Linked DNA regions of Mytilus edulis. The protein of the gene in region 1 binds, or shares a complex with, the protein of each later gene. Links are inferred from orthologs where the notes say so. Each region holds a gene or a part of one and is shown in the gene's direction. Other genes may lie near its edges.

Region 1 (7,696 bases):
AATTTATTAACAGTCCGAAATAGACTTGCTCGTCAGGAATCAACCCTTGGTAAAATCCAGTGAGTATATATATATTTTTTCCCAAAATGTAAATCAAAGAACTATTATAATTCTTAACGAATTTGGGAATTTAATCCACCACATTATTTTGTTGATATTCGATCTAGTGAGATTCATGTTCGATTATGGATTTTACATGTAGCAACATGCTCTGACAAAATGGTAATAGAGTAACTTTATTTTGGTAAATGGTTACCCGAGCTTTTTTAACGTAAATTAAATTGATGTATTAGAATTGCGGTCAAGTTAAGGACAATTGTAATTTTACCGGGAATGAAATTATTGAACATTTTTTAAAAATTTGTGAAAATTGAGTTACATTTTGTACTTTATTGGTGTTTTCCTATGTGCTCTTTATGATTCTTTATTGTCAAATTAATACATATATATATTAGTACTGTTTGTGTTATAGTCGCCATCATGTAAAATTAGACCCAGGTTTTTTATTAAATATTTTAAACTATCAATCCCGTTCATTCGATACGGTTTTAACTTAACGGAACATAATATGTAAACAAAAAATATATTGTCCTATCTTATTGTGTAAAATCGCTTACACATTAATCAAAAGTGAAAAACATCAGCTCGAATGATGGCGTTTGATAGTTAAAAAATATTTGATCAAGAAACTTGGTCCAATTTTGCATGACGTCATCTATAGTTGCATTTAAAAAAAATCGCATAATAATCAAATGGAATAATTGAAAACTCTGATTGAACTTTTACAGAGAACAACTCGAACTGATTATACAATTACAAAAAGGAGGTGCCAATCAACGTGATTCCTCGCTGTCTGATATTTTACGTGAAGTCGTTGAAGACGTCCAGCCTATCAAAAAATCAATGGGAACCAATCAAAGCTAGGAATTCTAGGTGACAAGATACAATAAGTATCCTTGTTTTCAGAACTACATAGCAGATGAAACGCCTTACTTAGTATTTGGTTGAACACGTTCAGCTTATCGAAGATACAAAGGGAAACAAAAAAGCTAGGAATTCTAGGCTACAAAATTCAATTTGTATCCTTGTTTTCAGAACTACATAGCAGATGAAACGCCTGACTTAGTATTTGTTGGAAAATTGTTTTCTCTGGGAACAGACTGTACACCTTGAAAACTGTTTACATTTATCTTATATATATTGACACATGTATTTTTATTTTTGTCTTAATAGGAATGTGTGAATACTGTTTTAGATAATAACTAATGCAGTTTGTTTGGAACATATGCCTATAAGTATGTGACCGTGACTAAGAAAATAGGTCCAGATGGGAGTGGAATTATGCATATATTGTTTTTTAAAACATTGAACGGCATTAATGTGTGTGTTTTTTTAAATTTGAAAGATGTTTTTGTGCTCTTTTGTTAAATATTTATTTGTTTTGAGATTGTGACACAGTGATGACTGCTGTATCCATGTTTTGACTCTTTTACATATTGTGTATGTTTTGTTCTCGCATCGTTGTAAATTAAATGTGATGCGACTGTCAAACAAGTGAAAGGTTAAGCGCTATAAAACCAGGTTCAATCCACCATTTTCTACATTTGCAAATGCCTGTACCAAGTCAGGATTATGACAGTTGTTGTCCATTCATTGATGTGTTTTATCGTTTGATTTTGCCATTTGATTATAGGGACTTTCCGAATTTTCCTTGGAGTTCAGTATTATGTGATTTTACTTTTTTTATACATATTTTCATTTTTTTTTCAACCCTTTGTCAATACTATTAATGTGCTTACTAGGAATACAAACGTTATGATGATATTTCAACTGGTTTCGAACATGTTCATATTTGGCATGTATTTGCGTACGATAATACATAATCAGAAAAATACGGAAATTCAAACAAAATTCTGATTAATTGTTTTCTTTGGAAAATTGGAATGTTGTAAATGTGTTCCACCTCAATATTGTATATTTGAGTACTCAAGGATTGAATATCTATATTGATGACAAGAATCCATTTTTTGAGGAATATTTATATTTGTATGTGGTTTCCATGGAAACAAAACAATAAATATTCTAGATTTTTGTTTTCATATTCTCTAATTTTTACATCAATTTTATGTGTTGTTTTTGGTGGTATTGTACTGTCTTCGTATCATTTTTTGTTTGTTTATCACATTGATATTTTGATTTTAAGTGTCTTGTTTTAAGTTTTGGTAGGTTTTAAATGAGTTGCTTTTTGTTATCGTATGTTTTGAATGATTTATATGGTACATAAAAAAATGTATCAAGACTTCCATCGGTTTTTCCCCAAATTAGATGAAATAAAAACGTGAAGTTAGTGGCATTGTTATTGAAAATGTATGCAGTACTCTGTACCAAATACAGAATATACTAGTCCTCTGATATTTGGTCAATTTATCAACAACTCACAATGTTTTGACGTTGTTAGTGACATTCGCCTTGATAATTTAACAAGTAAGGCCCGTTTCAGCTGTTTTTACAGCTTGTTCTGATGGTGTACTGTTTCACAACAGTCTCGTGTTAAAGAAGGATTTATCGCATAGAAACATGTTTAACTCCATCATATTCTAATAAATAAACTCATCATAGATACCAGTATTGAAATTTTAAGTTAATTTATAATTATGAACATATCAATGATTATCATAACTCAAGTCAACACAGAAGTTTGACTACTGGGCTGGTGATACCCTCGGGGAATTAAAACTCCACAAGCAGTGGCATCGACGCAGTGGATGTAAATAAACTATTCATAGATACTAGGGTCGAAATTTTATATTTACGCAAGACGCGCGTTTCGTCTACAAAAGACTCATCAGTGACGCTCGAATCTAAAAATGTTAAAAAAGCCAAATAAAGTACGAAGTTGAAGAGCATTGTGGACCAAAAAAAATCTAACAGTTTGGCCAAATACAGCTTAGGTAATCTATTCCTGAGGTAGAAACGCCTGTACCTGTCTTTAGTTAGTGTCGATAATTCGATCAGTTGTTGTCCTTGATTGAATAAACCACAAAACAAATCATTTTCAATAAAATTAAGTCATCATGAAAACATTGTTATCATGGAGTTATACTTGCGATTCGACTAATGGCAATCATACCACATCTTCTTTTTTATAAGGTAGGAGAAAGGTCTTAAATATATATTATATTACTCCGTATATCCATCACTGTTTGACTGTTTATTTTTGTGTGTGTTCTAAATGAGAATGTAACCTGGCCAATTAAACCTTGTGAACACAGGGCTTCTCGTGTATTCTTTCGTGGGTGTACTAAGTTAATTATATTCACGAAATATGTGATTCGTGTCTTCAAACTAAAAAAAAAAGCATGAACAGATGGTACTGTACTATGACCTATACTGTTCATATGCTTTATTTTAATGTACATCCTGCCTGGTGCAATTCACAATTGTACGATTATTTTCAGATGATTGTTTGTTTTGTCACAAAATACCACAACGCGCTACATGAAAACCTAGAGGGCATTCAGAAAGTGTCCAGCTCGATCCATTACAGATAACTTTTTTTTAAAAGGTAATACCCTAGTTCTTACTGAAAACGAAATTAACCTTGTTTAAAACAGAATGCAACTGATAATACCGTTTTGGAATTATCTTTGTAGTTTTTTTTTTAATATGAATTGGATTTCGAATAAAATGGCATATTGGCCCATGTACACGTGGACTGAGAAAAGAGGTATTCGCCACTGAACGTAATGTGCTTTTATTTGAATAATAATAGTAAAATGATTGATGGATATATGCTGCCCGGCTTTAGGAGTCAGACCACCAATGTACGACATACAATTTAGAACGTATGTAAAAGACCATGCTCTGACAAAAAGTAGTGTTTTTTATTTCCTTAAACTAACCATCAAATCTGCAGAAACGATTATTTTGGTGAGAGAAAAATATATTTAGACCATTTCATCCAAAATTTACTTGTCAATGAGTTTGCATTTAAGTTAAGGATTAATGAGCTCAATAGTATACTAATGTAATATTTCCAGAAAAAAACAGGTGTTAATACTTTTAGTAGTGCTTATCTTCCGATATGCAATTTTTTCTTGAAAGACTTGAAACATGGGATGAAAACTGGCATATGTAGAAAGGTGATACAGTGTACAATTCAGGATACATGTACCTGGTTTCTATGAAGTTAAACTTAAGTTGAAATATTCGGCAGAAAACTATGAAAATCGAAAAACTTGGTTAACAGATAGGGATTTTGAATTGGCGGTTACTGTATCAATGGTGTCGCAAATGATGAAATTGTGCCGGCTCGCCTTTAGTGTCGGAGGTTGCGGATCGGATAAAGCACATACAAATCCGCTTGAATCTCCATGTAATAGTTACCGCTGTACGTTAACTAAGCCCCATTCATGGTAAACTACCTTAGTGCTTTTTGTCATACATTTTTTGGGGGATGTTTTTTTTTTTTGCTTGTGGGTGTTTGTGGATTTTTCCCGTTTTCAAATTAGAACTTGAAAATTTAAGAGAAATTTCAAAATCGACTTCTAGTACCCCTGCCCAAATAAAGGAAAGAAAATGACAGGTCCTTAAGTAAATGGACCACTTTATAATAGTCACAGGCTAAATCACTGATACCTAAATTGATAATGCGGATTATCTACGTGTCTTAGTCGATACCTGTTTCTATTTTTAGAAAACTTGAACAGGTGTCGCTGTCGTCGTACGTAACTTCCTGTTTATTTTTCTTTCATCGTATTTCAAACGACGATATTAGCTAAAGTTATGGCCAAAGATGATGAGACAAAAGCGAAAAAGAAGCATAAGAAACAACGACATCGTTCCTCTAGTCCGGAGAAAGTAATCAGCTTAAAATCTTTTATTTGTATAGACACAGTCAACGGTGAACCCTACTGAGTAATGTAAATTATTTGGTGTTGACCATATGATCCTGAAAATTGTTTTTCCATATTTAATAACCTATTAAGGAATATGCAATATGAAGAAACATAGACATTCCTTAATATATATTTCCATGATATGCAGCAATTGACCTGTTAGAGATCACCAAGTCTCTATAAATTATTATTTGAACAGGTTAGACACCATGAACACAGGTCAGGAAAAGTGGGGTATTCCCTGTTTTGCTTCCATGACAATCCGGCAACACATCGATCCGGCCTACCTCAGTGTATCCGCACATCTAAGACTTATGACCACTTCATTCAACTGATAAAACCAATAATTAGATAATATTGTGTGAACAAAATCATAACATACTTTTATTTCATAAAATCATCTGTTTGTATGGTTTCATCATTCAGGAATCCGGGTCCGTCCGCCCTGATTTCGGTTCGCCCTAATTACAGTTCGCCCTAGTTCCGTTTCGCCCTGAGACCGTTCGCCCTGATACCTGTTCGCCCTGGGTATGTTCGCCCTGATTTTTATTTTTTATTATAGTGTTGTGTTGTGTGTATTTAATTGAATATGTTGAAGTCAGTCTACAATTTCGCCGAATATTTACGATTTTTATTTTTAGTATAGTGTTGTGTTGTGTGTATTTAATTAAATATGTTGAAGTCGGTCTACAATTTCGCCGAATATTTACGATGTATTATGTTGTCTACAGCTAGCTGCTACTAGGCTATAAGTTCATGCCTAACAATTTGTACATCAGTGTTTTTACCCATCCAAGCCGACTATTTTATTTGAGAAAATGTTATTTTCATTATCAATCCATCAAAGGCAATTCATATACCAATCAGTGATACCAAAGATTTCAAATCATACATGTACCTAATCAGCAATAAAATTCAATCAACAGTAATTAAAAGTAATTATAAAATAAAGTGTAACAATGCAGCCAAGAATTTTATTTAATTAATATGCTGTATTTAACTGTTTATAGATATACATAAATTTTAATATATATAAATATATATTTCTTTCATTAATGTAACATATACATATCATAAATGAAAATAGGGCGAACGAACCCAGGGCGAACGGATTACCAGGGCGAACAAACTCAGTGCGAACGAACCTAGGGCGAACATGTAATCAGGGCGAACGATCCCGATACCATCATTCAGTGTTCCAGCTACAAATGTAGCATGAAATGGAGGGGCGCCCCGCCCCCGAAATTTTGCGCCCCTCTGCCTTTTTTAAGCGCCCCTGCGCCCCATTGTGCCCTTTTGAAAAAAGTTTAAAAAACGATCTTTTTTCCTCATATCGTCGCCATTTTCTTGAGTTCTTTATGCACACACACTTCATTAAGACAACAGATTAAAATTGTTGACACTTGTTACCTGTATATAATCACCTATTTGATTGGAGTCAATTACTTAATCAGGTGAAATTTACGACCCTGTCTAATCCCTTTGCCCTGAAGCACCAAACATCGAAGTTAAATGAATTGATTATTTTAACACCTGACGATGCAAAATAGAATTTATAAAATAAATGTGAACGGTGTTCATTTCTAATGTATTTGTTATTTATAAAATAACGTTCATTTAAAAAGAATCATTCCAATAGGTCAACACGCAAAATGCCGACGAAAAAAAGAAAAATTGACCAACTCGGAAATGACAAGAAGAAAATATCAAAGACTTGGCTGCCAGTCTATTACATCTTTTTTCAAGAATAATGACCATCAAGAGTAAAAAATAATTTAATTCTTTACCTTTATGAAAAATCGAGCAGAAGAAAGGTTTCTATCAAATATCACAATTGTTCTTCTATTGTAAATTCAGTCGATTACGGAGCACCCAAAAGTCAGAATTTTATATCATTTTGTCTTAAATTGAAATCCGTTTTGACTAACTTTAATATTGATATTATTAAATACGCTCAACATGAAGTAAACGGAGATGCTTGTTGAATTGATAATAAACTAACAAAATTGAAATAATTTTATTTTATTGTGCCGATTGCGGAGCTCTCGAAAGTCCGATTTTTGTATCAATTTTCTTATTGAAATCACAGGCACTTGTTTTTATCCATTGGAAGACCCCCTATCAACGTATATTTCCGTAAATATACATTGATAGGGGGTATTCCAATATGAATAGAAACAAGTGCCTGTGATTGAAATCCGGTTTGACAAACTTATTGATTTTATTAGATACGCTCAACATGAAATATACGGAGATGCTTGTTGAATTGAACAGACAACAGTGAAACTATGTATGGTTATACAGAGAAAGAAGCTCTGGCAAATACATTTGACATGGACCCTGAAACTCTCCTTTTTCAATAACAGGACTTTATAGCTCTTGTGTCATCAGCAGAACTTACAGATCGTTCCTTATCTAGTCTGCTAGAGCTACAGTACAGCCTGTGACTTCCTCTTAGTTATGTCCACCCTCTTGCATGGTCAACATCCAATGGTGAACATTTATTGGGGTATTCAATCTTGAGATGTTGGCCATTTATTGGGGGTCATAAATCATGGGCAGATTTTTTATCTAATTATGTTACCTGTTAAAATCAATCAGGGTTGAAGTTTTCAGCTGGTATGTTTCATTAAAATTTACCTGTACAGGTGACTTGGGTTTTTATTAAAATTGACATTTCACCTTTTTTTGAAAATGTAGAATAAAATATTGTTTTACTCTGTTAATTTATTATAATTTTTTTGTCTTTAATGTTATTTAAATTTTTTATTTTTTAATTGTTTTTTTTTCTTCATTTT
Region 2 (6,862 bases), on another chromosome or scaffold:
TTATATGCTCACCACTGGGCTTCCATACTGATTGTTCTTCTTGTGTTATTTTTAGAATGAACTTTTTCCACGAAAATAGGTGACGTACATGTACTTGGCATCATATGCCAATTTGTGTACACTAGAAATGTAGGTCATATCAAATAAACTAGCTAACGGAAAGAATCAAACTAATTTATTATTTTAATGAAGTTCTAAGGTAACATTATCAACAAAAAGTTTAACCGCATTTTGTTTGAATAGTTTAACCGCATTTTGTTTGAATAGCCTTATGTCCACGAATATAGGTGACACTAGGCCTACCGTCAGTAAATATTTCAAAGCAATTTTCTGTAATTGTCATGAGGAAAACAAAGGATTTCAATGTTGTGATGTCGTAAGAGACAAAATAAATTAGCCTTTCAAGACGTCAAAAAAATTTTTAAAGGCCGAATTTTAAACTGCGGAAAAGGGGGACACATTTATCCTACTGACAAGTACTGAAGTAGACTTTGTCGCTCTGTTGAGTGATGACCGAGGAATTGTTTAAAAATTCAACTTATATTTTACAAAAATTCACACTCACAGCAAGTTATTCATTGGTCATTTCAAGGATGACAACATTCACTGTAGACTAATTTCTATTTTCAATATATATACTAACCAGTCACCATGCGCGAGCTCTTTTCACAATTTAAGGAATGTCTGACTACCAACTGAAATGTTGTAAAAAATATTGTACACTTTCTTTCGGCGAATTTATATTTAAGGAAAAAAAATGTGTTTGAATATAACTATAGTCTCATTTAGGTTTAAATGGCATATTACATTTAATCAAATCCAAATTATTTTAATTTCTGAATGTTGGAAAAATAAATCAAACCCACCTTAAAATTCGGTACCTCGAATTACCGAATAACAGTGTTATTATCCGAATAACTCATGTAATTACCGAATAACTCTTCAAATATCAATATTAACACATTTGAGTGACTTTTAAGCATATATTATTGAATAAAATTATAATAGAAGTGTATTTTATAACCTAAAAATAAAAAAAAAGTTGCAGGTAAGTTAATATTGATCATTATAAAATTATGGATATCGGTGTGTACTTCCAAGATGGCGACCAAGGAAAACGTAAGAAATGAAGAAAAGAAAGATTGCATATATGCCTTCAAAGGAAAACGCTATGAAAATATAGTATTAAATAATTTACTGTATATACAGAGAATTGTCTAATAATTGTTTTTCAGAAAGGATTTGAAAATTTAACCAGTACATCAAAGCAATGCAGTTACTCCAATCACTAATTACTTTTCATAACAATTTACTCAACATTAAATAAAATGTAATTAAGAATTTTCACATATTCAATTCAAATCTAATAAAAAAAATTATTATAATTGATTGTTTTAATAAAAACAAAGCTTCTGAATGGATGATTTTTATGTTTATTCTAATAAAATTTTCTCAAAACTAAATATAAGATTTTCATTGGCAAATATAAATGTTTTTACAAGTCACTTTAATTTTGTATAAAAAGCCATGAATACATGTGTGCTGTCTTCCATTTTCAAAATGGCTTTATATCCGTGTGTTCAATGTGATGAAGAATGTGTTGATTGCACCATTCAATGCAGTTGTTGTGATCGTTGGGTTCACAGTGCTTGTGTCCCAATGGATGATGCATTGTTATTGGCCTGGTCAGATGTGTCTCTAAAGTTCCTTTGTAAGGACTGTTGCTTTACAGACAACAAGTATGACATGGCCAAGGCGTTAGAAAGGTAAGTAATTTTCATACATACCTTTTATTATAAGCTATACAAATGCGAAATTGGGTTTTTTATATTATTAATAGAGAGTGAAACATGGTACAAGAAAAATAAAATAAAATATTTAATTTCAAAGAAGACAACCTTTCACCTAGTTTATTATATTTCATTTATTTCTTATTTCATTTAAAATGTATTTAATTTACTTAATTTAAATTACTAAAAAATCAGAATTAAAAATAATAAAATAATACTCAATTAATATTCTTCTAAAATTAGTATTTACGTTTTTTTTATTGCTACTTTTATTTATTTTCATACATTGAATAATTTGAAAGTGATAATGAGTTAATTAGTTCCAATAAACAAAATAATCATTACCTCACACTTCTGTTAGATTGTTAATTGGGTTGTTGTTTACTGACACGTGCCCATTACATAATTAATCATTAAGAGATAATGAAATTATATTACAGTATGGACACTCTGCATTAAACAGGCTTGTGACTGTCTTGGTATACCAAGGCTGCATTACCAACACCAATAATTATAATAATGAAAAATAGAACACAAATAAATATTTACAACTATATACAATATGTACATCCTATGTTAGTTTTCTGTCAAAGGGTAATAATGTTCAATGTTTCACCAATAATTTTTGATTATTTAAAATAAAAAATTATTAAAAAAAGATATTTTAATAAAGTTAATTTGGGTTTTCCTGTTAAAAAAAGCTTTCTTCTGGCAAATTCGAATTTGTAAATTATAAAATATGTAAGAACTTTTGGATTATTTTAGTCATTCGATGTTAAAAAAAACCCTCTTCTTAAACAAAATACATTGCACGTGGAGTCATTGAGAAAATAGTTCAGTATTGTTTCGCATGTTTTCAGGTTGAAATTCTAAATAAAGTATTTCCGCGGACTATGACAGATAAGCCCGTGCCTTGTGCAGGATATCTTAGTAGTTATAAATTTTTTACAATAAATTCTAAATAAAGTATTTCCGCGGACTATGACAGATAAGCCCGTGCCTTGTGCAGGATATCTTAGTAGTTATAAATTTTTTACAATAAATTCTAAATAAAGTATTTCCGCGGACTATGACAGATAAGCCCGTGCCTTGTGCAGGATATCTTAGTAGTTATAAATTTTTTACAATAAATTCTAAATAAAGTATTTCCGCGGACTATGACAGATAAGCCCGTGCCTTGTGCAGGATATCTTAGTAGTTATAAATTTTTTACAATAAATTCTAAATAAATTATTTCCGCGGACTATGACAGATAAGCCCGTGCCTTGTGCAGGATATCTTAGTAGTTATAAATTTTTTACAATAAATTCTAAATAAAGTATTTCCGCGGACTATGACAGATAAGCCCGTGCCTTGTGCAGGATATCTTAGTAGTTATAATTTTTTTACAATAAATTCTAAATAAATTATTTCCGCGGACTATGACAGATAAGCCCGTGCCTTGTGCAGGATATCTTAGTAGTTATAATTTTTTTACAATTAATTCTAAATAAAGTATTTCCGCGGACTATGACAGATAAGCCCGTGCTTTGTGCAGGATATCTTAATAGTTGTAATTTTATAGATTTAAAGGCTTAGTTAACATCCATTTCTAAATCACAAATATAAAAATATGATAAAGATAATATTTTTTTAATAACTAAAATTAAAACAAAAACTAATTTAAATAGTTTACTATTCCATATTTTATTTTAAAAAATGCCCACCCTCACATTGTTCATTGCCGTGACGTGGCGTGAGGGCTCCACTTTGGTGGTCTAAGATGAACACGTTGAGGGATTGTATGCAATCTTTCTTTTCTTCATTTCTTACGTTTTCCTTGGTCGCCATCTTGGAAGTACACACCGATATCCATAATTTTATAATGATCAATATTAACTTACCTGCAACTTTTTTTTTATTTTTAGGTTATAAAATACACTTCTATTATAATTTTATTCAATAATATATGTTTAAAAGTCACTTAAATGTGTTAATATTGATATTTGAAGAGTTATTCGGTAATTACATGAGTTATTCGGATAATAACACTGTTATTCGGTAATTCGTGTTACCCCCTTAAAATTTGCAGTTACGTCCCTTGTCATGCACAAAACGTCACGAAAACGTGTGGAATCGTTTTCAATATGTCAGCCTCCAGTACAAACAAATAAAGTTCATGATTTCTCATAATATTCATCGAAGACATTCGTAGTTAGCAATGTCATCCCTTGATACATGGGTCAGCGACAAACTGCATGACATCTTAGGAATATCGGACAAATACATCTCACAATATTTGATTGGTTTGTGTAAAAAAGCAACAAGCTCAGATGGATTCATTGATAACCTCAGAGAAACTGAAGCAGTTGACATTAATCCACAAGTTATCCAATTTGCGAAGGAGTTATGGGAAAGGGTAACTTAAATAGTCTTGTAGATAGAATTATTCCAAGGCTTTGTTGGACACCTATAGCATAGGTTTCATTCGAATGTACTTTTTTTTAAAATGCCCCTCTGCGATGCTTTCGAGACAAGACAGCCCCACAGTGACACTTCCATGAATCATGACGTCCATAGGATGCATCGACCATAAAGCAAAACCTACAAATAACACATTGTCCATACTTTTTAGTTTAACTGTAGAGCATGATTCTACAGACTCTAATCTGTAACGGGTTTGCCCCAAATGTTGCCACACACCACAGATTTTCAGGGCTCAAGTCCAGGAGGAGACTATGTGACTTTGCCAACAAAATCATGTTCTCCTGGGTTATAATTGGTGCCCAATTAAAGAATCCCTCTGTCAACATATATTTGTTCCGCCTAGCAGAAGTTCCAATGGAAACTTTGTTATAAACATTGTCATAATATCTATTCCTGTTGGAACAAAGATTCTAAACAATTTATTCCGTTAGGAACATATACTGTGATTTTTATTCTTGTGGAAATAATATTCCAGAATATTTTTTCCTTTTGGAACTTATATTATGCAGGAACTTCTATTCCGTGACACCACAGTAGTTAGATAGAATATTTAGCTAGTATATTTTGTTATAAGAGTCATAATGATATGATGACTCCTGAGGTTTAGAAAGCGTGATTGGACAGCTTCCCTTAATACATATGGCAGATACACTGTAGCTAGTTGCTATAAATAATTCACATTTATATATTATATGCTATATATATATATATAATGTGTATTCTAAGTGAATTGCATATAAAAAACATAACAAATAATGTAAATACAGCATATATAATTTACCATCTACTTGTATATATCACAATACTTTTTAGAATTTAAATAAAATTTATTTGCGAAAAAAAGCTATTGATGGTGTGTCTTATCAAAGTATGGCTCTGTTGTCTTTTCATGGTATGGCTGACACAGCATGGATGTCATGTCTTGCATTGTTGACTCCTTTATCCCAGGACGTTGTTGACCTTATCTTCAAGTATAAATTGAATTTTATTATTGAATAGCGTTTAGTTTTATATATTCAAACAAACAAACAAATAAATATTTTGATTGATATTATTATTCACATATAGGTATTTATGAAGTTTTTGCTGATTAATGATAATCTGAAACAATAATGTGTTTGGATATAAAAAAGATTAATCTTTCACCTGTTTTTTTTTTTAAATGCAATTGCCATTGACATGATTAATGCTGAAATATTATTCTCCAACAGGTCAAGACTTTGTAATATATTACACAAAAAACATGTATCTATTCAAAAATCCTTAAAAAAAACCCAAATACTATGTAGTCTGTGTGTTATTGCTTGGAGTACTATTGTGTATTTAATATATGTAGATATGTTCTACAAAATGTCCAAAGGCGAAAAAAAGGATAAGTTCTTAATCAATATTTTCAGGCACCAAGAAAAGCTGTAACAGAAAAAGTAGGAAGAGTTTTAGAAAGGCAATCATTAGAGCTACAAAAGAAGAACCAGAGTTATAAACTTGTATCGTCTGGAAGTGAGGAGGATGAATATTCTGTCCAGCCAAAGGTAGACAACTCTATCCTAAAAATATATATAGAAAAGGGTGGTGTACATTAAGATTTGAATTAGTTTACAGAATCATGAATACTGTGGATTCATTTATTTTCGTGGGTACCTATTTTCATTGATTAAGAAAAAAATGTATAATTGTGGATATTTAATTTCGTGGTTTTGCCAACGTCTGCATACAAGCCAACAGAAAATTTGTCATTCGTTGAACATTTGATTTCGTGGTTCACCTGTACCAATGAAATCCATGAAAACTTGTATCCAATGAATAATAATGAATCCACAGTAAAAACATTTGGGCAAGCTATGAGACAGCAACTAAACAAACACAAACCAAATGAAATCGACTAGATGTCAACATATGTTTGTTTACAGGTGTAAATACAATATGTTATAATTTTATTACTTTTCAAGCTGAAGTTTGAGCAATGCTAGAAACACATTAATTTCTTTCAGAGACGGAAGGCAGAAAAAAGACAGAAGCATTTACGTAAGAAGCAGGAATCTTCAGATGAAAGTGATGCAAATCCAGATAGGTAGGAGTCTAGTCAAACCAAAAAATTACACTTCCATTCCTAAATGCAAATTTTTAAGCTGATACAGAAAACTAAAAAACAAACATGTACAATTTGTATAAACATTACAAATCAACAGTATACACTTTTTTTCTGGCTATGGGTATGAGAACAATAAACTTGCTATTAACTTGTAAATAAGTGTTTTATTATGCAGACAATTTTTTAGCACATAAATGATGCTTTTATTGCTGTTCTGTCATTTGGAAAAAGCTATAAAGTTCTCAAACAACAAATCCCCCTCTCGAATCAATCTGCCTTTAAATTGAAGAAAAATGTAAGATATTTCAAGCAGCAACTAAACACAAATACATATACAAGCCTTCAATAATTAGCAGAAACCATGCCCAGTCCTTCAACAGAAAACTATTTTTTGTAAAATTTTTGTAATTTTTTTTAATGGGGTTATTATTACCTTCAAGATGGTTTTAATAACATTAGGAAGGCTGCGTAAATGTCTTTTTGTGTCATTTGTTTCAAAAATCAAAGTTAAAAG
Region 3 (7,801 bases), on another chromosome or scaffold:
AAATTTTTGCGGTCGTATAAAAACCACATGGATCTATCTTTCATATAATTGTAAGTCAGTTAACTTCCCATAAATGATAACTAAATAATATAATAACATGGTTACCTGGGAAAGCTTGAACTGATACAGCATTTCAGAGTTAATCAAAGCTGATTCATTATATCCAATTAAATACATTTTGTAACAGACATCAAATAATTGAAAATAAGAACACAATTTAAACTGAGATAATGTATATGTAACTGTAAATCTAGATCTGAGTGACAAATTTTGTCTGGTAAAAAACTTTAAACACCTCATACATGTACATGTCATACACTCCTTATTGTTCACTAACTCAATAGATTTGTTATTAAACTTTTATAATTGAATGCCATTAAGTTATAAATAAATGAGTTATAGCTGATCATATACATGTATTACAATGCATTAGCGACAAGATCTCCTCAAAATATAACTCAGTGACAAAAAATAAACAGATGAACAAACCTTGTTGAAACTGACTGAGTGGTGAAATAAAATCATCTTCTGAGGAATCTGAGCTAGTACTACTGACATCTAAAACAATATCTTTACCAGGATCTGCCTTCACAAAGTTACGACACTGAAATGTTAGATGTCCAGCTAAAAAACATAATGAAAATAAAATAAGAAATTTTGTCTAAGCATTCTAAGGACATGAATGCCCTTGCTCAAGCTTTGCAATTTTCAATTATCAAAACGTTTAATGACTCACTGCCCAAATTAGAACTTAGTCTGCATGTTAAATAAAAACTTACCTAGAGTGAGTAAATTAAAATATTTACAATTTTCCAAAGTATAAAGGGGTATAACTCTAGAAAGGTTAATGAAATATTGCCAGAATTTAAACTCTGCGTGTTGTGGTTTTCAGCAATGATCAGCAATACCTTTAGTCCAGTCAAACTAAGTTTGAACCTCAAACTAATTGCAACAGAAAATGCTTTAATTCTAATCTATAGCATTTAGCCCCAAATATATACAGAAAGAAGTCCCATAAAATCTAATTTGAGGAAAACTCAAATTTTGCATTTTTAATTTCTTATAGAAATTAACATTGGAAAGGGAGATAACTCAGCAAAAATGAGACTTTTATGTCAGTTTTTGTTTGATTTTCTTAAAATTCATGTAATATATGATACTTTGATGGAGTTATAACTTCGTATTTGACTATATTATATAATCTTCTGCTCATGAAATGTACAAAACCGAAGTGCTATGCATATTTTTTTAATTCTTTTTGCACATTTTCATTAAAAAAATTGCAAATTTATGGCCTAGTGACCATTTTGAAAAAATGAATATTTGGTATTATTTCTATCTGTAAATTATATTTGTTCAGCATCTACCTTGTTCATAGAAACTTTAAACCACAAAAAGAGGAATATATGCTTAATTAGTTTTATTATTCAATTTGAGATTCTTTACCTTAACATGCTGAAAAATCTAATAAATGGTCAACTATTTAATTATGAAGTCTAGGTTCTAGCTTGATAAAAGATATGATAATACCTTAAGAGTTCTTTGTTATACTCTAAAGATGACTCAAATATCAAGAATCAATACATTCTGTTGAATAGAAGCGGTAAAGTTATAACTTTTTATCAATCTTTATTGATATTTCTGCATTTTTGCAGAGTTATCTCCCATATGAACGCAAATCTCCATAGGAATTTTAAAATCATGATTTTTTAGTTTTCCACAAGTTATATTTTATAGGACTTTTTTCTGTGTATATTTGGGGTATAATGCTAAAGATTAAAACTTATGTATGCTAGATTGACTGGACTACCAATGATTTTCTTAAAATTTGGATGAGGCAAACTTAAGTTAGAGTGCGAACATGAACAGACTTGCATTTCCAAGTTATACTTATAAAAGGGCATAACTAACTGTAAATGACTCTGTGATCAAATTTGATCTCTGTCTGCCACTTTTGGTTTTTAGCACCATGTATGACTTTCAGAAAGTTTGGATGAGGAAAACATAACCAAGAGTGGTAAAACAAAAATGGGTCAGACAAAAGGACTGACAGATGGACAGAGGGATAGTCAAGGGTAACAATTAATGCCCATGTTGCCTACGGTTGAGGCATAAAAAGAAAACATAATTATACTTAAAGGAATAGGAATGAAATAGTCATGGCTGGTAAAAGATTTCCATTACACTGCACGTCTTATGATACGGAAATAAGAATGCTATAATGTCTCAACTGCTCAATTAACTATTTTTTCTATATAATAGCTCAATAGAAGTAAGTAGACAGTTATTTAGATAAAAAAAAAATCATTCAATTTTAATAAAAATTAAATAATGCCTGAATATTTTAAAACAAGAATGTGTCCTCAGTCCACGAAAGCCCCACTCGCACTATCATTTTCCATGTTCAGTGGACCGTGAAATTGGGGTAAAAACTCTAATTTGGCATTAAAATTAGAAAGATCATATCATAGGGGACATGTGTACTAAGTTTGAAGTCGATTGGACTTAAACTTCATCAAAAACTACCTTGACCAAAAACTTTAACCTGAAGCGGGACAGACGGACGGACACACAGACCAGAAAACATAATGCCCCTCTACTATCGTAGGTGGGGCATAAAAAATAAACCAGAACAATCCACATTGTCAATTAAAGACTTGTGAATTGAGATGTCGCAAGTGGGAGCAGTGTGACAAATTAAAAACAAAGATCATGCAAGTGAGGAATGTATATAGCAATAAACAAACTACATTATTTCATGATTATCATGAAGTTTTAAAAGATATAGTAACTTGCCTATGCTGTTAAATGGTACACAGCTGAATACTGTGAATTTATTTATTTTTGTTGATACTATAGTAAAAATAATATATAGTGGTATTTGATTTCAAGGTTTTTGCAATGTCTTATTACAAGCCTTTAGAATATTTGTACTTTGTTAAACATGAAAAAGTTTGTTTTACCAATACCAAGGATTAGTTTACAAATCCTTGCATTTACCCACAAATTCCATAAAATTTGGTATCCCATATAAAGACTCTTCAGTATTAAATACAATACAATCTGCTATACATACCATATCCACATTTTTTACAGGCTGGTTTAAGTCCATCATTTTTATTGGTGTATTTGCTGCCTATGCCTAAAAGTTTTAAAAAAAATAATGTTGATAAGGCATCAGTCATGTCAGTCAAAGATTAAAATCAAATAATAAGACCTAAAAGATTGGAATATCTTGCCTGCTATTTATTATTGAAAACCCGAAGGGACTTCTTTCAACATGTTAATAGAGATTTTATTTGTCGATAGATTATATCATTATTTTATAATAAAAAAAAAATATCTTGCTTCACTTTTGATGATTTTTCAAATACCCGCAAAGTTGTTATAATGTATGTGACCTCATGGATTAGAAAATACTTTTAAATAAAATTCATCTGTTAGACAATAATGATAGGACATTAACTTAAGCATAATAAATTAAATACATGTAACACATAGTGAGAGGATGATAGAGCAGATTGGTAACCCTCAAAAAAGCATTGTCAATCTTGGCTTGGTAGTGATTGACACTGTATTCTTTGGTAACAATCTGTCATTGGATGCCAAATTGACTTTAAATGGGTGCCTATTTTTAACCAGATGTCGATTTAACAAGGTGCCAATTTGACTTTTTCTGTGGGTGCTGATTTAACTTTTAGTTGTATCCCAATCTGCTCTATCGTCCAATGTTTTATTTATATATGGCAGTGTCTGCGCCTGTCTGCGAGTACCTGCATACGGATACACTTAGCCAAATTGGCCTTTTTAGGCTATGTGTACCCGCAACCGATTTTATAAGAAAGTGTCATATGATTGGGAAAGCAACGTGAAAGATACACAAAAATTATTGGTTATTTTTCTGATTTTGTGAATTCTGTGAAGATAATAGCAAATAATATTTTTTAAATTGTTTTTAATGTATTAGTTAGAAAAATAGAAATCAAATATAAATGCATATTTTTACGAAAGTGTATCACGGTACGTCGTAAAATAATAATAGGCGTAGAACTTTTTTTTTCATATATATTGACATTTCAAATCTTAAAATCTCTGTGAGTAATCAATTTATTCTCTCACTTATTGCGATGTTTTCTGAGTTAATTTTACAATTTATTCCTGATCCGATGACATTAAATTATAAAACTGGAGGCGGGTGTGCGTAGCCGTAGCCTACAAAGGCCAATTTGGCTACGCATACCTCACATGCAGGTACGTACATACACTACCTATTCATATACTCATTATTACTGTCATCTGCGAAGAGTCGGATTTTACTATGTTGGATGTATTTTGGGAGGTCGTTTATGTAAATTAGAATAGTATTGGTCCTAGCACTGTACCCAGTGTGACACCTGATCATGTGACTGGTATAATTTTTAAAGATGACTCTTTCTAAAAGTACTGACTACTGTTTTTGTTTGTGTTCTGTTTGACAAAAATGATTCAATCCAGTTTATTATTTGATTCCTGTCATGAACAAGTTGTATCAAATTTGTCTTTCTTTGTTTACCTTGCATTGTGTCATAAATCGTAAAACTGCGGAATGGTCTAAATTTTTTGGTTAGGTACCTAAGGGAGATAATCTGGTATCATTCAAGTCAAAACTAAAAGAAAATCAACATTAACTTTCCATGATTATTACGAAATTACATTCTGTTTAAAAAATCCCATAAATAATCAAATATAATGAATATTATGAATTTGAATATGAAATTCTTAGTTTATTATACAAATACATCATTTACTATTTTATCTTTTAGTTAGACCTAAACAAAATGGCTGCGCCCATTGACATTTCAAATTAATGGTCTAGTTTGTTTTTGTTTGACAGGCTATGAGCAATATTTATATACAAGAACCGCCTACGAGCGGAAAGGTAGAAAATTAGTGTTTTACTTTGCTGTTTAAAAAAAAAGTAAACAGTCTTGCTATATTATAACTCCAGCAGACAGTTGACAATATCAATAACAACAGCTGTTTTACTATCTTTCTATCTGTATATTTTAAGCCAATGAATTTTACTGACACCTCATCTTGGAATGTCTTCTTCTTCTTCTCCTTCTTCTTTAGTTACAGAAAACCATCAACATTTTGAAGATTACATTCTGGTGCATGCTTGATTGAGGTTCTTCTTCTTCTTCCAGGTAAGGAACCAGATTCATTGCTGAATGTTAATGGTTCCGCACGAAAACTTTACGCAGTGTCGGGCAACACAGAAAGATTTCTCTTGGCTATTTACAAATTACATTTAAAACGTTCGCAGAAAAATATACAATTAAAATTATTTACAACTGGTTTTCCTACTTCCTTTCAGAGCATGCCTTCAGGGCAGCTCTGAATCCCTCAACGGTGTTGGTCGCTGTAACTGTCGTTGGTAGGTTGTTCCAGTCCCTGATTGTCCTCGGGAAGAAAGATTGGCCGTAGGTGTCTGTACTTGTTCTTTCTTGGAAGAAGCGGTTTTTACCTCTGGTCCGGTTATCATTCGGTGTCAAATATTTGTGACGGTCTATATCTATAAGTTCATGCTGGATCTTGAATAGCATGCACAATCTATTTGTTTTCCTCCGTTCTTCGAGGCTTTCCCACTTTAGATTTTTAACCATATTTGTGACACAGCCAGGTGTTCGGTCTGTGTAGTTGTTATTCACAAATTCGTGCAGCTCTTTTCTGAACCTGTTCAATTGCCTTGATTTTATTTTGAGCGGTTGGGTCCCATACTGTGCTTGCATATTCCACTGCAGGTCTTACCATGGACACATATGCAGCTGCCTTTACAGGTTTTGTACAGCCTTTGAGGTTTCTACGTATAAACCCCAAAGTTCTGTTTCCTTTGCCTACTGTATTGTCTATGTGTTTATCCCATGTTAGGTTGTTACTGATGGTTACTCCAAGATATTTACTTGCTTCCTCTGGTTGCCTTTTAAAGTTTTTAAAAATTTTGTCATCATGGTCATAATGCAATTTCTCATTGTATAATAATTGCATAATGACAAGGAGAAAAATTAGAATAGTTTTACAGTTCTGCCAACTTTTCGTGAAGCAAATGTGTAAGATTTTGTCAAAATTGAAAAGATCAAAGAGAAAAAACAATACATGTAGATCAAAAGAAAATGCCAAAAAAAAAAGCACACACATGCGTGAGACTTGGCAGGTTTTATATATACATGTATTATAAAAAAAATAAAATTTATTTAGGTGTCCATGTTTTAATTTATGCAAGCTTCTCCTCATTGTTGTATCTTTTTCAAATAAAAGATCAAATATTTGACAAGGTTATATTTGTCTTCAAATTTCAATGGGACCTGAATGTAACGGTCATCTTGTCGTGATGTCATATACATTTTGTATCAGATGACGTCGTGTTTGGACATCTGAGGTCACAAACATCCAGCGGTCGTATTTTCTGGCACATGAAATGCAACCTTGAAAAACAACTGGCAGTAAGAGGGTTAACAATTGACAGGAACATATAAATTGATACAGGTTCCAATTTTTGCCATTTAACTGACTTAAAATTATTCAAGGTCTTTGCCGTCACTGTTAAATCAGACCGGTTATTCCACTGATCCACTACTCTAATTGAAAAAGTATTTAGTCTATGTCAGTATGTGTTGTCTTACAATGTTTCTTAAAAAGTTTTTTAAGGAGTGACCTTTCGTATACATTTTGTAACATTATAATAAGATGGTGATTAAGTAAATAAGCTCAATGAACGTAACCTATCTTCAAAACTTAAATGATTTATGTTCTTGACGAGTTAAGTGGTCTTTCTTTGGACAGATTCAAATTTACAAATATTTTTTTAAGAGTGGCGACACCTGTAGCATATTCCAACTTTTGTTTTTAAATCGGTTCTCATTAATTCAAAATTTTAGAATGTACCAATACATGATCTTCAAAATGGAGATATTCTATTTGTTAATATTTATTTCTAATTATCCTACCTGATAGCATAATAAGAGGTTCTTTTTCCTGGAAAAATTTGATTTCTAACAGCAAATACCTTTGACTTGTTTCATTTGAACAACAACAAGATAAAAATGTCTCTAGTGTAAAAAGAATTGAAAATACTTTTTCATTATTGAATAAACAACTTGGTACACTTGAACAATCATTAATGACATTATAATGATATCATGCAATAAACGATTTCTGTCAGTGCAGGTTTTTCCATCACACTTGTGCTCATTGGTTGTAGAAGTTAATATAAACGGCTCATGGTTAAGGTCACTCCATACAGAAAAGCTGTAATCAAATTTGAGTATTGGAACACGACAATAAATAAATAGCAGTTAGCTATGACATGTACATGTATGAAGATTAGGATGTTCATTTACAAGAAAGTTTATGCACATATCATATGTTTTATAATAAAACTTTTCCATTCCATTCAAGTATTGAAAATATATTTTCATCTGTTACTTAGCGCATAACTACTTGAGCTAGTGAATATAATGTAGCTGAGAAAAAGAAAACATTAGTTAATGAAATTAGGTTTAATCAGAAGTATATCTCATCTAAGAATTGTGATAAAAGAAGGAGCACAAACCTTGTTCTTTGAGATAAGTAGATATAAAAAAGAAGGTTATTAGACTATATTACATGTACATGTACTTGTATGTGAAGCCTCATATAATTTTATGTTCAAACAATGTAGAAAAGCTTGCCTAGTTGAGAGTCTCAATGTTTAATCTGTTTCAACTTGATTCACATGAACATGACCATCTGTATTATGTTAAATCTATTTGTAGGTTCTATT
Region 4 (7,300 bases), on another chromosome or scaffold:
CACCCCCCCCCCCCCCTGGATCCGCCACTGCACAAGGAGAATCGGGTAGGTCTTTATTTACTAAATTAATCGTAAATATTCCGCCGGTTGATATTGTAGCATTGGTAAATATGTTCATATCTGATAGAGGATTCCTTGATAAAGTTTTGCTGACATTCGAGACTTGGCAGGAGGGGCCCTTTCAGTTTGACAGATCTCCATTTATACTTGCGGTGGCTACACCTTGTAAAGTTGGTGCCCTTTGTGCATCTGACGGTTTCAAATGCTGTATAACATGATGATTTAAATTAATACTGGGTGACAATCTTGTTGCATTTGTGAAATGGATTGGAAACCTTGGTGGTATATTGGTAATTACGCCTATTTCTTTTTATAGGAGAATGGGGTTCGATTCCCTGCTAGGGTCAATCCATTTTATCAGAAATATGAAACAATTTTGTCATTTCAGTACAACAGTAATAATAACCTATACTTTATTTTATATTTTATCGTCGGAACATATGTTTCAATGAAATTATTATATACAATGACATGCCTTTTTAACAGGAGAGATGAAACGAGGGAGGGGTTTTGAAGTTAGAACAGCCAACATGAACGTTGTGGTTTCTAGGTCAACTATGACAATTACGAATTGTAACACATTGTTGTTATTGGAAAAGTATTAGTAACAAAATGTGTATCATTTTAGTGTTTGAAAGTGCTTTAATTTAAGGAAATACATTAAATGCATACCAATTTGACGAAATTTATTTTTCTGCCGTAGTCAATATACGCATGTGTAAACTAATTTTATTGGATAATAAAGTATACGGTTTCTTTACAAAGCTAAAGAAGCACGTCATATTAGAATTCATTTTAAATAATTCTTTGTCTTTGATATGAATTAACATTACCTGATGCATTGCCTTTCTTTGTTTACATTGAACATGACCTCATAACTTAAATAACGTCACAAGTAAAATCCCTAACAACAGAACCAAAATCGGAAACGTTACAGTAATGCAGTATTTCCGTTTCTTTTTTTTAACAAATATGTAAGTTACAAAAAAAAATAATTCATACAGACTCTGTCCCCATACACCTTATCGCTATTTGTCCGTCATTACTGGAAATCACACAGGTTCCCGTAAAATTTTGACGTCATAAAACAAAATATCTGACGCCACAATGGAAGTGATTGTTGTATGCGTCAAAAGTTCAAGTGGCCGGGTCAGCCGGGATTAGCGATAAGGTGTATTCACAGGTAATGCCTGCCTCATATTATATATATATGTTCCTGATTTGAGGTTTCATTATGACTTTAGGATAAAGTGAAAGTTGAAACAAATAAATAGAGATGCGGCATTGTGAAAGTATTACTTCAGGTTCTAATTATGACATATTCGTGTCTATTTATACAATAAAAGGTATTCTTTAAGTTACTTAACCTTTGTGATTATGACAAATTGTTTAAGCAGTCTTACTCCTCTTGCATGAAAATCGAGAATATTTCCTCGAAATACTGGTTTCTTTTCTATCCACTGATGTTCTCTTTCCTTATTTTTTGGCTTTTTCGCTAGGGTAACAGTAGCGTACAATAAAATAAAGAATCGAAAATCCTACCAGTGATGATTGTTTTCCGCATTATACTGCGAGGTATTTTTTAAAAGTACTTTTTTTTAAATTAATTTGAATTTATCACTGTTTATTTAATTTCAAGATATCATCTTAACGGGATAATCAGATATCTTGTAAAAGTATATAAGATATCTTGAATACTTCCGCGCTTCATACAAAATGTACTTCGGTTAACGCTTTTACACCCCAATAAATTTACAAAAAAGAGCATTCAATTCTTAAATATAGCTCAACATGCAGACTTCTTATACGTTCAGGTATTTCACATCCAATTTTTTATGGAAATATTCTTTATAAAGCACAAAGGTGTCAGTATTCACCTCAAAAACTAACAAAATCTTTGAATAGACTTATTAAGAAGGGATATAGTTACGATACTGTTGTCAGGTCATTATAAAGATTGCATATTTTGGCGTTAATATTGATTCACTTATAGGGTCTTTGCATCGGAACTAAACACATTTATTCAAAAACCAGTTGTTGGCATGACACGGGTTATATTCTTCTCATATATGTTATGATGGTATGATACTAAACCCCTAACGGGAAGGATTAATTTGTGCCTGATGTTCATATGATGAAATCATAATCTTTCAGTCAGTTTAATTGAAGTCTGGAGCTGGCATGTCAGTTAACTGCTAGTAGTCTGTTGTTATTTATGTATTATTGTCATTTTGTTTATTTTTTCTTTGGTTACATCTTCTGACATCAGACTCGGACTTCTCTTGAACTGAATTTTAATGTGCGTATTGTTATGCGTTTACTTTTCTACATTGGCTAGAGGTATAGGGGAGGGTTGAGATCTCATAACATGTTTAACCCCACCGCATTTTTTGAGCCTGTCCCAAGTCAGGAGCCTCTGGCCTTTGTTAGTCTCGTATTATTTTAATTTTAGTTTCTTGTGTATAATTTGGAAATTAGTATGGCGTTCATTATCACTGAACTACTATATATTTGTTTAGGGGCCAGCTGAAGGACGGCTCCGGGTGCGGAAATTTCTCGCTACAATGAAGACCTGTTGGTGACCTTCTGCTGTTGTTTTTTTCGATGGTTGGGTTGTTGTCTCTTTGGCACATTCCCCATTTCCATTTTCAATTTTATAAAAGATAGTCTGTTAAACAAATTCTTAATAAGCTCGACTGATATCTTGTAAATATTTATATATCTACTAATGTATATAAGATATTAGCATACTTTCTTGTTTTTTTTTAGTCTGGACGCCATATAATTAACTAATTCATCTTTATTTCACTTTCAATGTTGACATTCATTTCCTTTAAATAACTGAACACGGACAGTGCATGCGTTATTCATTTCTACGGATTCAATGAGGTCGAATTATTGCAAGTGAAGAATTCACCATCTATTTTTCTTATCTTATTTTGACAAAATTGAACCATACTGGCTGCTAAAAGAGAATCAGTGATTATTTCACTATTTCACTTTAAATTGTTATGCAAATATATCGGATTATGATACAATGAATAGATTTTTTTTTTGCAATTATTTTGCAAATAATTTAGCTTGCAAGAATAAAGTTATTCTCCATCTCCAATAAATAGGTAAATTATATAATAATAAATGTCATAAATAATGTATCTGCAATTATATTTTAAGAAGTGAAACTGACAAAAGTACATCATTTCAATAAAAAAAAAATATCATATTAAATTTCGTTTGTTTTTTGTTTATTCTGGATATATAAGTTTTCATTTTAAGTGTAACGTGACGGTATCCAAATTACACCTCTTTTGACAGTTTTTTCATCTACGTTTTTTTATGATAAAGACAAAAATGTCCATTCTGTGTTTAATTTCTAGCCGTATCCTTCTTTATTATATTGGAACACCAATTTGATGTTTAATTCATATTGAATCATATATTAGAAAAAAGGGTCTAAACTGACCTCCAAACCATCAATGATTCTGAAATGAGAAGTGTACCCAAATTGCATCTATGCTTAAATTCGCATCGTCAAAAGTCTAATAATAACAGAGCTTTTGTTTAATTTCTTCAAATATTTTAAACAATTGGATATTAGTCCATGCTTAATTTCATTTTTTTTAAATGGATACTTGTAACATATTGTATTTCATCATTTTAAAAAGATGACGTTTTGATGACGGCATGGCGACGTTTCAGTTCATTTTGCTTTTTCAGTAAACACTTCATCTATTGATAAATACTGTTGTGAACGTTTTGTGCATATCTAAATATATTTACCTATGTCGAAAGATGTGCATAGTATCAAATCATAAAAATACAAAATGTTTACTGTTTAGTCTCTAGGAAATCTTGTTAGATGTCCGCTGCTATTTTAGCTAAATAGGTGCAATTTGGGTACTCGGTGCAATTTGGGTACCGTTACGTTACAGTAGCGAGTTGGCGGACCTTTATCATTTTATATCTTGATTTATAAAATGGGGAGAGTTGGAAGGAGTATATTTAACGGGAAATACTTTTTCATAAGTGGGCGACTATCTATAAAGTGGGACGACCTGGTGAAAAAAATGGGGCGACTTGGGACGATTTTACAGGAGGCGAGTTGTCTTGCTTCCGACTATGTGGGTATTAAACTGGACCCCTGCTGTTGTTTCAATCTGTCGAAGTATCAATCAGCGGGTGGCCAGTTAATGTGGGTATCGGAACTTCGCGCATTCCCTTCCCGTCAGTGCACTCTTTTCTTTATCATGATACAGTAACTTCCGACCAAGCAAAATGGGCAAAAAACAACATCAGAAAGATAAGTTGTATCTTACATCTACTGAATGGAGAACAGAATTCGGAGGATATAAAGGTCAGCTTCAGAAATCTGCAGAATTTAGACGTTTACCTTTCTACTGTTGTAGCTTATCGTTCCAACCTTTTCAAGATCCACTATGTACCAAAGACGGCGTCATTTTCGATATCATGAACATTGTTCCGTTTCTGAAAAAGTACGGCGTGAATCCGGTAAACGGAGAAAAGATGACAGCAAAAGATCTGATCCATTTGAACTTTTATAAAAACAAAGATGATAAATTTCACTGCCCAGTTACGTTTCAGGTTTTTAATCAGAACTCTAGCATCGTGGCTATTAAAACAACAGGTAACGTGTTTAGCAAAAACGCAGTGGCTAAACTTAATCTCAAGCCAAATCACTTGAAAGACCTTTTATCTGACGAGCCGTTTTCAAAGGCTGACATCATAAACATTCAGGACCCCACAGATGTGGAAAAATGCAATTTTGCCAATTTTTACCATTTTAAACATAATTTAAAGGTTACAAATGAAGACAAAGCTGATTCAAAGTCAAAGATCAGATCTGCAAGCACCATGACTCAATCTGTCCTTGATGAGCTTGAAAAAACTTACAAAGCTCCAGTAAAGGAGGAAGCTTCAATGGCCAAAGCAGATAAGTTCAATGCAGCTCATTATTCTACTGGTCAAGTTGCAGCATCATTTACCTCAACAGCAATGAATCCCGTCACAGAACATGAAACTGCTCTTATTGATGAAGATATACTGCGTTATGAAAGAGTGAAAAAGAAAGGATACGTCAAACTTGACACTAATTATGGTCCACTGAATATTGAACTTTATTGTGATATGGTCCCAAAAACATGTGAGAACTTTCTGAAGCATTGTAAAAATAAGTACTACAAAGGTTCAAAGTTTCATCGCTCAATAAGAAATTTTGTACTACAAGGAGGAGACCCTACTGGTACAGGCCTTGGCGGGGAATCAATATGGGGTGGAACTTTCAAAGATGAATTTAAACCAAATTTACAACACACCGGCCGAGGAGTTTTAAGTATGGCAAACTCTGGACCAAACACAAACAAATCTCAGTTCTTCATCACTTTCAGGTCAGCTCATCATTTAGATGGTAAACACTCAGTATTTGGTAGAGTTGTAGGTGGAATAGGTTCACTAGATGCTGTAGAACTCATTGAGACAGACAAGAAAGATAGGCCAAAGGAAGACATAATAATCGAAGACTGTGCAGTGTTTGTAGATCCATATGAAGAAGCAGATGAACAACTTCAAAAAGAAAGAGAAGAAGATCTTCAGAAGGCAAAAGAAGAAAAGGAAAAGCTAGAAAAAGAAAGGAAGAGGAAGGTTGCAGCTGAGGGTACTCCTACGGTTTACAAATCTGGTGTTGGAAAGTACATTAATTCGACTGGAAGTGAAACTAGTTTGAAAAGATCAGGAGGCGATGAGCAATCAGAGACTGAAAAAAAGAAAGCTAAATTTGTACCAGGGAAATTAGGGAACTTTAGTAACTGGTGAAAATATAAACATGTATGTTATAATTGACTAATTTTAACCTTATTCATCATGTTCATGCTGAAAGTTACCAGGTGAAAATGAAATTACAATGTACATTGTATGTACATGTATACCAAGTTTCATAAAAATATGAAGATATTTTGTCACATAAAGATATTTTATCATTATGCCATTAACATGATTAATACATGCATGACATGTAAATCATACAAATGTACATGTCATAGATGACATCTGAACTGTTCAATTCCCCTTTCTCAGATATAATTTTGTAATTTTAAGTTGATCTGAGGCAAGTAATCCAAAAGTCATAAAAGTAGAAACTATAATAAAAAGAAAATTACATGTTGAAGACTCAAATTCAACATGTTCAATAAACATCATGATGATGATGATGATACAATCTTAAAAACTTTAATTTTATCAATATTAACTAACGTTCTAATTCTGCCATTCTGCATTTTGAAATAAAAAAAGTGGGGGCTTTAAAATACAAAATGCAATTAAACTAAAGTAAAATGTTGATTATTATTATAAATCAGATACAAGTTTTAATGGCATGAATAGCACATACAATTTTGTTCATGTAACATGTATTTTAATTTTTTCATTGCCATATATACATGTAATGTATGCATGCTCATCTAAATTTTAGTATTTCTTTATTAAAAAAACAACTTTGGATTCATTATTATTCATTGTATAGCAATTTTCATGGGTAGAGATGAACTACGAATTCAAATGTTCAATGAACAACACATATCTGAATAGGCTTTGTATACAGAGATTGGCAAAACCACAAAATCAAATATCCACAAATTCCAGAGGCATGACTTAAATTAATATTTGATTTCATTAGCAATTATTTTAACATATTTAAAGATTTTTAAATATCAGTGATTTACGTGTAACGTGATAACCATAACGTTCCCGTTCATCTTCAAATGCACATTTGGTGAATTTTCAACTAAATGACAGTTATTTTTGTAATTTGATTTACTAATTATTGATCCCTTTTTATTATCAAGATTATATTAACTTTAACAGTGTGCCATGGGAATTTTTCTGTAATCAAATAGATATATATTACATACTTCTATTGTTAAAGTCATAAAAAATAAGTTTTCTGGTTATGTTAATGTAAAAGAAAAAATTGCACCATAAATGCATACATGTATATACCATGTATACTATCCATTTGTAATTTCTATATGCATATTTTTTACAATTATTTTAAATCCTTAATTAAATAATATATAAACATGACAAAATAAAAAAAAATCATTCAGTGATTGTTGATTGAAAAACTTGAATTTTGTGTCTAAGTGATTGTATCATTGCCATTATTTGAGGTGAAAGAGTGATGTATATTTGTTTTATAAATGTATATTTTTGATGCATTTCCATTTAT

The links.
Region 2: smad nuclear-interacting protein 1-like (region 1) and pre-mRNA-splicing factor ATP-dependent RNA helicase DHX16-like share a complex: the UniProt entries of both Homo sapiens proteins name them as parts of the minor spliceosome. The link is inferred for Mytilus edulis from reciprocal best matches to the Homo sapiens genes SNIP1 and DHX16.
Region 3: smad nuclear-interacting protein 1-like (region 1) and spliceosome-associated protein CWC27 homolog share a complex: the UniProt entries of both Homo sapiens proteins name them as parts of the minor spliceosome. The link is inferred for Mytilus edulis from reciprocal best matches to the Homo sapiens genes SNIP1 and CWC27.
Region 4: smad nuclear-interacting protein 1-like (region 1) and RING-type E3 ubiquitin-protein ligase PPIL2-like share a complex: the UniProt entries of both Homo sapiens proteins name them as parts of the minor spliceosome. The link is inferred for Mytilus edulis from reciprocal best matches to the Homo sapiens genes SNIP1 and PPIL2.

The regions. Positions count from the first base shown.
Region 1 is NC_092353.1:19,625,968-19,633,663, reverse strand, and holds the start of smad nuclear-interacting protein 1-like, read left to right. Parts: upstream 1-4,682; 5' UTR 4,683-4,785; coding exon 4,786-4,860; intron 4,861-7,696. UniProt on the Homo sapiens protein: Required for pre-mRNA splicing as component of the spliceosome. As a component of the minor spliceosome, involved in the splicing of U12-type introns in pre-mRNAs. Down-regulates NF-kappa-B signaling by competing with RELA for CREBBP/EP300 binding.
Region 2 is NC_092345.1:3,144,935-3,151,796, forward strand, and holds the start of pre-mRNA-splicing factor ATP-dependent RNA helicase DHX16-like, read left to right. Parts: upstream 1-3,857; 5' UTR 3,858-3,990; coding exon 3,991-4,188; intron 4,189-5,653; coding exon 5,654-5,788; intron 5,789-6,247; coding exon 6,248-6,327; intron 6,328-6,862. UniProt on the Homo sapiens protein: Required for pre-mRNA splicing as a component of the spliceosome. Contributes to pre-mRNA splicing after spliceosome formation and prior to the first transesterification reaction.
Region 3 is NC_092344.1:100,219,340-100,227,140, forward strand, and holds the start of spliceosome-associated protein CWC27 homolog, read left to right. Parts: upstream 1-4,789; 5' UTR 4,790-4,876; coding exon 4,877-4,918; intron 4,919-7,793; coding exon 7,794-7,801. Other genes in the region: protein SREK1IP1-like, read right to left, coding at 490-624, 3,077-3,142, 4,553-4,559. UniProt on the Homo sapiens protein: As part of the spliceosome, plays a role in pre-mRNA splicing. Probable inactive PPIase with no peptidyl-prolyl cis-trans isomerase activity. As a component of the minor spliceosome, involved in the splicing of U12-type introns in pre-mRNAs.
Region 4 is NC_092349.1:71,243,587-71,250,886, forward strand, and holds the start of RING-type E3 ubiquitin-protein ligase PPIL2-like, read left to right. Parts: upstream 1-4,292; 5' UTR 4,293-4,335; coding exon 4,336-5,889; 3' UTR 5,890-7,300. UniProt on the Homo sapiens protein: Has a ubiquitin-protein ligase activity acting as an E3 ubiquitin protein ligase or as an ubiquitin-ubiquitin ligase promoting elongation of ubiquitin chains on substrates.